Linked DNA regions of Cricetulus griseus. The protein of the gene in region 2 purifies or fractionates together with the protein of the main gene of each other region. This does not show direct contact. Links are inferred from orthologs where the notes say so. Each region holds a gene or a part of one and is shown on either strand. Other genes may lie near its edges.

Evidence for each region.
Region 1: the proteins of Cd40 (region 2) and Birc2 purify together in Homo sapiens (affinity purification with western blotting; 4 studies listed by BioGRID and IntAct, with this or other methods). This does not show direct contact. The link is inferred for Cricetulus griseus from reciprocal best matches to the Homo sapiens genes CD40 and BIRC2.

Annotation. Positions count from the first base shown.
Region 1 is NC_048597.1:122,214,079-122,217,897, reverse strand, and holds part of Birc2 (baculoviral IAP repeat-containing protein 2), read left to right. Parts: coding exon 1-577; intron 578-664; coding exon 665-764; intron 765-3,819. UniProt on the Homo sapiens protein: Multi-functional protein which regulates not only caspases and apoptosis, but also modulates inflammatory signaling and immunity, mitogenic kinase signaling, and cell proliferation, as well as cell invasion and metastasis.
Region 2 is NC_048599.1:14,351,209-14,354,968, forward strand, and holds the end of Cd40 (tumor necrosis factor receptor superfamily member 5), read right to left. Parts: intron 2,252-3,760; coding exon 2,162-2,251; intron 2,075-2,161; coding exon 2,043-2,074; intron 1,177-2,042; coding exon 988-1,176; 3' UTR 805-987; downstream 1-804.

The DNA.
Region 1 (3,819 bases), on a different chromosome or scaffold from region 2:
GAAAAGCACAGGCAGCTGTACCCCAGCTGCAGCTTTGTTCACACCCTGCTTTCTGCTAATCTGCAGTCTCCATCCAAGAACACAGCTCCTGTGAGAAGTGGGCTTGCACATTCGTTACCTATTCCAGAACGAGCGGGTACTCACTCCAACTTGTCCTCAAATCCTCTCAATTCTAGAGCAGTGGAAGACTTGTCATCAAGGACCAATCCCTGCAGCTATGCCATGATTACTGAAGAGGCCAGATTTCTTACTTACAGTATGTGGCCATTAAGCTTTCTGTCACCAGCTGAGCTGGCCAGAGCCGGCTTCTACTATGTGGGACCTGGAGACAGGGTGGCCTGCTTTGCGTGTGGTGGAAAACTGAGCAACTGGGAACCGAAGGATGACGCTATGTCAGAGCATCGGAGACATTTTCCCAACTGTCCATTTCTGGAAAATTCTTCAGAAACGCAGAGGTTTAGTATATCAAATCTGAGTATGCAGACACATACTGCTCGAATGAGGACGTTTCTGTGCTGGCCGTCCAGTGTTCCTGTTCAGCCTGAGCAGCTTGCAAGTGCTGGATTTTACTATGTGGGTAAGATGTTAACAGAGACTAGAACTTTCTCTTTTTTGTTTATGGGAATATACATGAGTCAGTTTCTCATCTTCTTTTCTTGTTTAGATCGCAATGATGATGTCAAATGCTTTTGTTGTGATGGTGGCTTGAGGTGTTGGGAATCTGGAGATGACCCCTGGGTAGAACATGCCAAATGGTTTCCAAGGTAATTGGTTCTTTGATTGTTTTTGTTGAGACAGGGTCTTTCTGTGTAGCCCTGGCTGTTCTGAAACTAGCTCAGGCTGGCCTGGAACTCAACAGCAATCTGCCTGCCTCTGCCTCCTGAGTGCTGGGATTAAAGGCATGTGCCACCGATGCCCGGCTATCCCTAACCTCTTAATTTTTATTATTGCTTAAAATAAATTTAGGGGCACAGTTGTTAGTGAAATAGAATTAGAAATTGTATATTTGTAACCAATTAACTATGTGAACTTGGACATAATTTCTAAAATAAATGGGCTGTTAGGAGTTTTTATCATGATAAAATATACATAAAAATATACCAATTTAGCCTTCTAAAATGTATTCTTGTGCAGCATAAAGTGCATGTGTACTGTTTTACAGTCATGTTCAGAGCCTTTTCATCTTCTCACTCTGAAACTCTGTATCCCATACACTTGAAAGCATCCCCCCCACCCCTGGCAACCAGCCTTTTACTTGCTATATCTGAATTTTTTACTTTAGGTACCACATGTAAGTGGAATCATACAATGAAGAAAGTTTGGACTTGTGCATGCCTTCCATAATAATGATAAATCTGTTGGACCTCCTTCAGGAAATTACAGGGACCTTTGGTCATTTTTGTGTGATATATGATGAAAAGGAATTTGGAAGTAGAAATGTTTATAGTGGATCAATCCATTGTATATGATGGGGTAGGGAGTGCACCCATGCCCACACGCCTTTAATCTCAGCACTTAGGTGGAAGAGGCATGTAATCTCTGTGAGCAGAGGCCAGACTGGTCTACATAGCAAGTTCAGGTCAGCTCAGGTTGAGGCAGAAGGAGTCTGAGGTCAAGGTTAACTTGGGCTACATTGTGAGCCCCAGACCAACTCAGCTAGTTGGCCAGACCCGATCTGGAAAAAAACAGTAAGCAAAAAAAAAATTCTTATCCAAGGAAAATAAAGCACAATTTGCTAGTGGAGGTCATAGGACAACTCTTCTTTCACCATGTGGGTTCTGTGAATGGAATGCAGGTCGTCAGGCTTGGTGGCAGGCATTTCTGAAGGCACCCAGAGTTTGTTTCAAGGGTTCTCTTAATGCAACAAATTTGACAAGTGATTTCATAATGTTGTAGGTCTTATTGGAGGTTGATCTTTAAGAACATGTTTGAAAAAAAGCAACATTTCTCCATAGTAATGCTAGTATGAATTTAGTCTTCACTGTTGAAAATGTCAGAATTTTAAATGACAACCATACTTGTGGGCTTATATGTTGTAACTTGAAATTTAACTTATATATAAAAGACAAAAACGTTCTAAATTCTAACATTTGAATTGCTATACTTTGTAAAACAAAATTCTTCACCCTGTTTTAAATGCCAAGGGAGAAGACAGGAATGGTTTTTGTCAGTGCAGCTCAGAACAGGTTTCAGCTGTGACTGTTTGCTCTCAGCAAAGACAGACTAACAGATGGTCATTATCACTAGGTTTTAGTATATATAGTTCACTCATTTGTCAGATTCAGGTGTGCTGCGCTCTGAGGGCAGTCAGGACTGCTATACTACATGTCTTTAACCATTCTGCTGATTGGTTTCTGTCATTGACACACTGGTCACCTGGGAAGAGGGACCTCAGCTGAGGATTGCCTCCCTCACATCTTAAAGCAGTCTGCTATGAAAACTGATGATTTCAGCTGCACAGAAACTGCCTCTGTCTTCCCAGCATACCATGGCTTTGGTGTCACTATATCCTTCTAAGTTTATTTATTGTTTATCTTCTTTCTTTCTTTCTTTCTTTCTTTCTTTCTTTCTTTCTTTCTTTCTTTCTTTCTTTTTTTGGTTTTTCGAGACAGGGTTTCTCTGTGTAGCTTTGGAGCCTATCCTGGCACTTGGTCTGGAGACCAGGCTGGCCTCGAACTCACAGAGATCCTCCTGCCTCTGCCTCCTGAGTGCTGGGATTAAAGGCGTGGGCCACCAACGCCTGGCCTATTGTTTATTTTTCATATGATAATTGTAGCTACAGTTATTTCTAATACTGTTTTTATTAGGATAGTTGTCACTATAGTTGTAGCTATAGTTATTTCTAACACTGCCTTTATTTAATAGGACAGTTATAACTACAATTGTAGTTACAGTTGTTTTTAGCACTGTGATGGACTGGGGTAGTACTGAAGGTTGATTCTGGGCTTTGTGCATTGTAGATAGGCACTTTACCTGAGTCCCAGTGTTTGTTTTTTTTTTTACCTTTATGATAGAGTTGAATTATTTACACTCTGCATTACAATGTGGAGAAGTCTGAAGATGATTATGTATTTGTCTTCACCTGTAAATTTTGTACTTTCCTGTGCTCTCAAGAATTGCTCTTTGTATTCTTTCATTATAGCTTGTGTATCTGTCTTGTTCTCTTGAAACTCACCACACTCCCTGAAGATGAATATTACTTGCTTATCTGACAGCAGTTTGTAAACACCTTTCTCTTCCTTCTTTTGAATTGGTTCTTGGAAAATTTTTGTCTCCCTTTGTTGTTAGAGTTTTTGTTTTATTTATTTGTTAGTTACTTGTAATCCTGCTTCTTAGATTTTGTGTTGAGCAAAGACCTTTAACTGTGGGTGGGTGTGAGGGTTTGGGCTTGTCAGGGGTATGGCAGGCCCAGACTCCTTGGGAAGTGCAGTTTCATAGTCTCCATGGAGCTTCTGTTAGCTGAAATCCTTGTTAGTGAAGGTTTTAGAGATTCTCAGTGTCTGGGCAGCATCAAAGCTTATGATCTTTCCTGTCATGGGAAACACCCTGGCCAATGGGACCCCTGTTATACCTGTTCTGGCTTGTGAGTGTTCTCACAATGAAGGGGACGGTAGCACTGGTGTTACCTGGTTTGTCTTGATGATTGAGAGCCTGAAGAGCAGTCACAGAGCCATCTGTGTGAGTGTGTGGAGAGAGCACTGACTGCTGCTGTGATGTGTTGAGTGTCTGAGATGAAGACACTCACCTTGAACAGCTGGAGGAGATGTGGAGCACAGGTGTGTCAGAGCAGCTGCAGGGCTGGGGCTTAGGACAAGAGCA
Region 2 (3,760 bases):
CAAGCACAGTGTGCAGCCTGCTTAAATACGGTTTAAGGAAGGGTATGTGACAGCTTCAGGTGCTTTGTTTTGGATGTTGGGAGAAGCTGTTGTTCTTTAGTGGTTTTTTGTTTTGTTTTTCATTTTTTTTAAGACAGGGTTTCTGTGTAGCCCTGGCTGTCCTGGAACTCACTCTGTAGACCAGGATGGCCTCGAAACTCAGAGATCTACCAGTCTCTGAGTCCCTAATGCTAGGATTAAAGGCATGTGTCACCACCACCCAGTTAATGTTTGTTTTTGAGACGGTATCATGTAGGTCAGGCTAGCCTTCAATTCACTATGTATTCCAGGCTGGCCTGGAACTCCTGGTTCTCCTGCCTCTTCCTCCTGAGTGCTAGTATTACAGGCATGAACCACCATTCCCATCTTGGGGTATGCACATACACACTCATGCATGCATGAACATGGACCACAGAGTGCCTGTGGAGGTCAAATGTCAATCCTCTGGATTTGGTTGTCTCCTTTTACCATGTAGTCCCAGGGATAAAAATCAGGTGGCTAGCAATTTACCCACAAAAGCTATCTTACTTGCCTGGGTATGTGTTTTTAAAGGTTGTTTCTCTACCCACCATTCCACTACCTGTTTTTGTTTGTTTCAGTTGATAGTATTTCTGAGATCCTGTTGTATAAATACATTACAGATTTATTTAGCCAGTCCCCTGCTGATGGGCAATCAGGTGTCTTCTAACAGTACAAGCCACAAAGCCATAGACTGTGGTGTCCATGACTCCTGATAGTGAAAGCCACCAGGATACATCTCTGGGTCCTGTATTGCTGCACTCTCTGGATCCCTGATGCCCAAGCTTTTCCTCCATCTTTAAAAGCAAGACAAGGGATGGCAGCTGGGCAGGCGCGGCAGTTTTTGTTCCTTTCGAATCTCAAATGTCAGCCGCCATCCGAGCCAGGCCCTTGCCCTCGTGCCATCACCACTGCAACAGTTCCAAGATCTCAGACCAGGTGCTTCAAGTCCATGCTGTCCATCAGTTGTCTCTCCTGCACTGCTATGCGGCTCTCCTTGCCGTCCTCCTGTGCCACAGGCTGACTCCCAACCAATGTCTCCTGCACTGGAGCAGTGTTGTGGCCAAGACAATCTTCTGTCTCCGTAGGATCTCCCGTTTCAACAGCAGGGAGTGAGGCCTGGAGAGCCAGGGTGTGAGAGCCAAGGTCACCTCTAGGCATAGAGCCACCCTGTCCCTGAGGAGTAGAATCCTTCCTCCAAGTCCCTTCCCCTTGGGGGGGGGGTGATAATCAAAGCTGATTTCTCAGATACCTCCTGCCCCCTGCTGGACACATGAAATTTGGCAGGAAACTTCCAGAGTCAGAGTCAGCCAGCAGAAGAAGCTGCCCCTCTGGTTCCACCTTCTGGCCTCTAAAGGCTGGACTTCCCTATGTTCCAAGCCAAAGGAAAGCATGGGCAGGGTTGTTCTGCCAATGGTGCCTGGCTCCTCCCAGTGGGGAAGTGATTAGTTAGAGGACGGAATGAAGACCGTGATTCAGGGCAGGGTAGGGGTAAGAGTAGCCGACTGTCACCTTACTGGCCCCAGGGACAGACACTGAGCCTGTTCCCTTCCACCCACCCACCCATCCATCTCTCTCTGTCTCTCTGTCTCTGTCTCTGTCTCTCTCTCCCTCTGTGTGTGTGTGTGCTCGAGCACGCTCACGAGCACATGTGTGTACATATACATAAGGAGTGTGGTGTTGGACGTATGTACATGCACCCATGGAGACCAGAGGTCGATGTCACTCTCAACCTTATTTGCTAAGTCAGGGTTTCTTTCAGAACCTGGAGTACCTTGTGTCAGCTAGACTGGCTGGCTAGCAAGCTCTGCATGTCCACGTCCCCTGCCAGCCCTGACGTTACAGGCTTTTTTTCGTGGGTATTGGGTCTAAATTCAGGTTCCTGGGCTTGTGTAGCAAGCACTTTGCCCACTGAGTAGTCATCTGTCTCCCTGTGCCACGCATGAGTCTCCCAACCTGCCCACCAGTCACTCTTTCCAGCTTACCTTATTATCCTCTGGTTCCTTGACCACCTTTTCTAGAGAGAAAAAGAAGGGGTGAGGCTTTGGGAGGGCTGGTTCTGCATCCCTGAGTCCTCCCCCTCTTCCCTCACAGGGGCACTCACTGATACAGAAAGACACCGCTATGAAGATGGTGATGAGGACGGCCATCACAATGGGAATGACCAGCAGGGCTCGCGTCCGGGACTGCACACCTGCAGAGACAGACTTGAGTGGAGCCACTGGCAGATGCTCCCACTCCTTGTCCAAAGCAACTGCGTCTTCCAGCATCTGGACCTCCTGAGGCTGTCAGAGCTTTCAAGCAGCAGCATTGTGGGTAATGTTGCATCAGGGGATCTTTTTAAATGCTTCTGTGGTATTTGCCAATGGTTATGAACTGAGAGATGGCGTATTTGTGGGGGGACAGCGGATGTGGGTGTGGCATATGTGCAGGTGTGTGCATTCAGAGGCTGTCCTGCTCTGTCACGTCACCTTCTACTGAGCCAGGGTCTCTCACTGAGCCTGGAGCTAGTCTGTCAGCCAACAAGCTACAGCAGTTCTCCTTCTTGTTGCATTGGGGTCACAGTCACCCCAATGCCTAGTTCATGCTTGCACAATAAACACTCTTACCATCTCTCTAGCCCTGGGAGATTTCAGTTGGGAGGATCACACACACACACCCCAGTCAGCCAACTTCCCACCTGGCTTTCACCAGCTTTGTGGTGAAGGGAAAGCCTGCCTGCCTGTTTCTCACACCCCCTGCTCTCTTCCCTAGCTGCGGCTGTTCAGCTCTTGTGTCTACATTGTTAACATCTGCTATGGAAGTGTGGAGCAGAGAAATAAAGTATCTCTTGTGTCTACATTGCTATTCCAAGTGACAAAAAAAGACCAAAAGGCAGGAGGCATCAGAAGCAAGGGGTGTAACCACTTCCCCATAACAAGGAGACAAAAAAATTGAATCCTCTTTGAGACAGGGTCTCACTAATCGGCTCAGGCTGACCTTGAACTTGGGGTTCTCAAGCATCAGCCCCCTGAGTACTGGGACTGTAGACCTGTACCACCACACCCACCTGATAGATAGGGATGCAAACACCAACAGCACAAACACTGGCCCATAGGCGGCTACACGGCTTTTAAATAAACTTGTATTGGAACCAGAGTCAAAATCAGGATGATGTAAGCAGGATCCACACATCTGGCAAGGCCAGCTCCTACTCGATTTTAAAATTTGCTCTTTTGTTTATCGCAGGTTTTTGTTGTTTTTTTTTCTAGCATAATATCAAAATGTTTTTTCTCTTGCTTGCTGTCCTTTTACAATAGTTTATTGCATGTCACAGATGACCTGTGCTTCTGTCACCCATTCCAGTCACATCTTCCCAAGAGAACAAAGTCAATCTCGAGAAAAAGCCAAGAGATTGTATCTTTATTTTCCTTTCCCTTTTTGGCATTGGGGATCTAACCTAGGACCTCACACATGCTAGACTTGTGTGGGGGTCTAATCCAGGACCTCACATACACTAGTGTGTGGGTCTAACCCAGGACTTCACACCTGCTAGATTAGTGTGTGGGTCTAACCCAGGACCTCACACATGCCAGACAAGTGTGGGAACCTGGGTCATCAGGCTTGCACAAGAGCTTAGCTTAATGAGCCGTCTCAGTAGCCCTCTTTTTACTTTCTATGTTGAGACAATGTGTTCCCAAACTTCCCAGGCTAGGCTTGAACT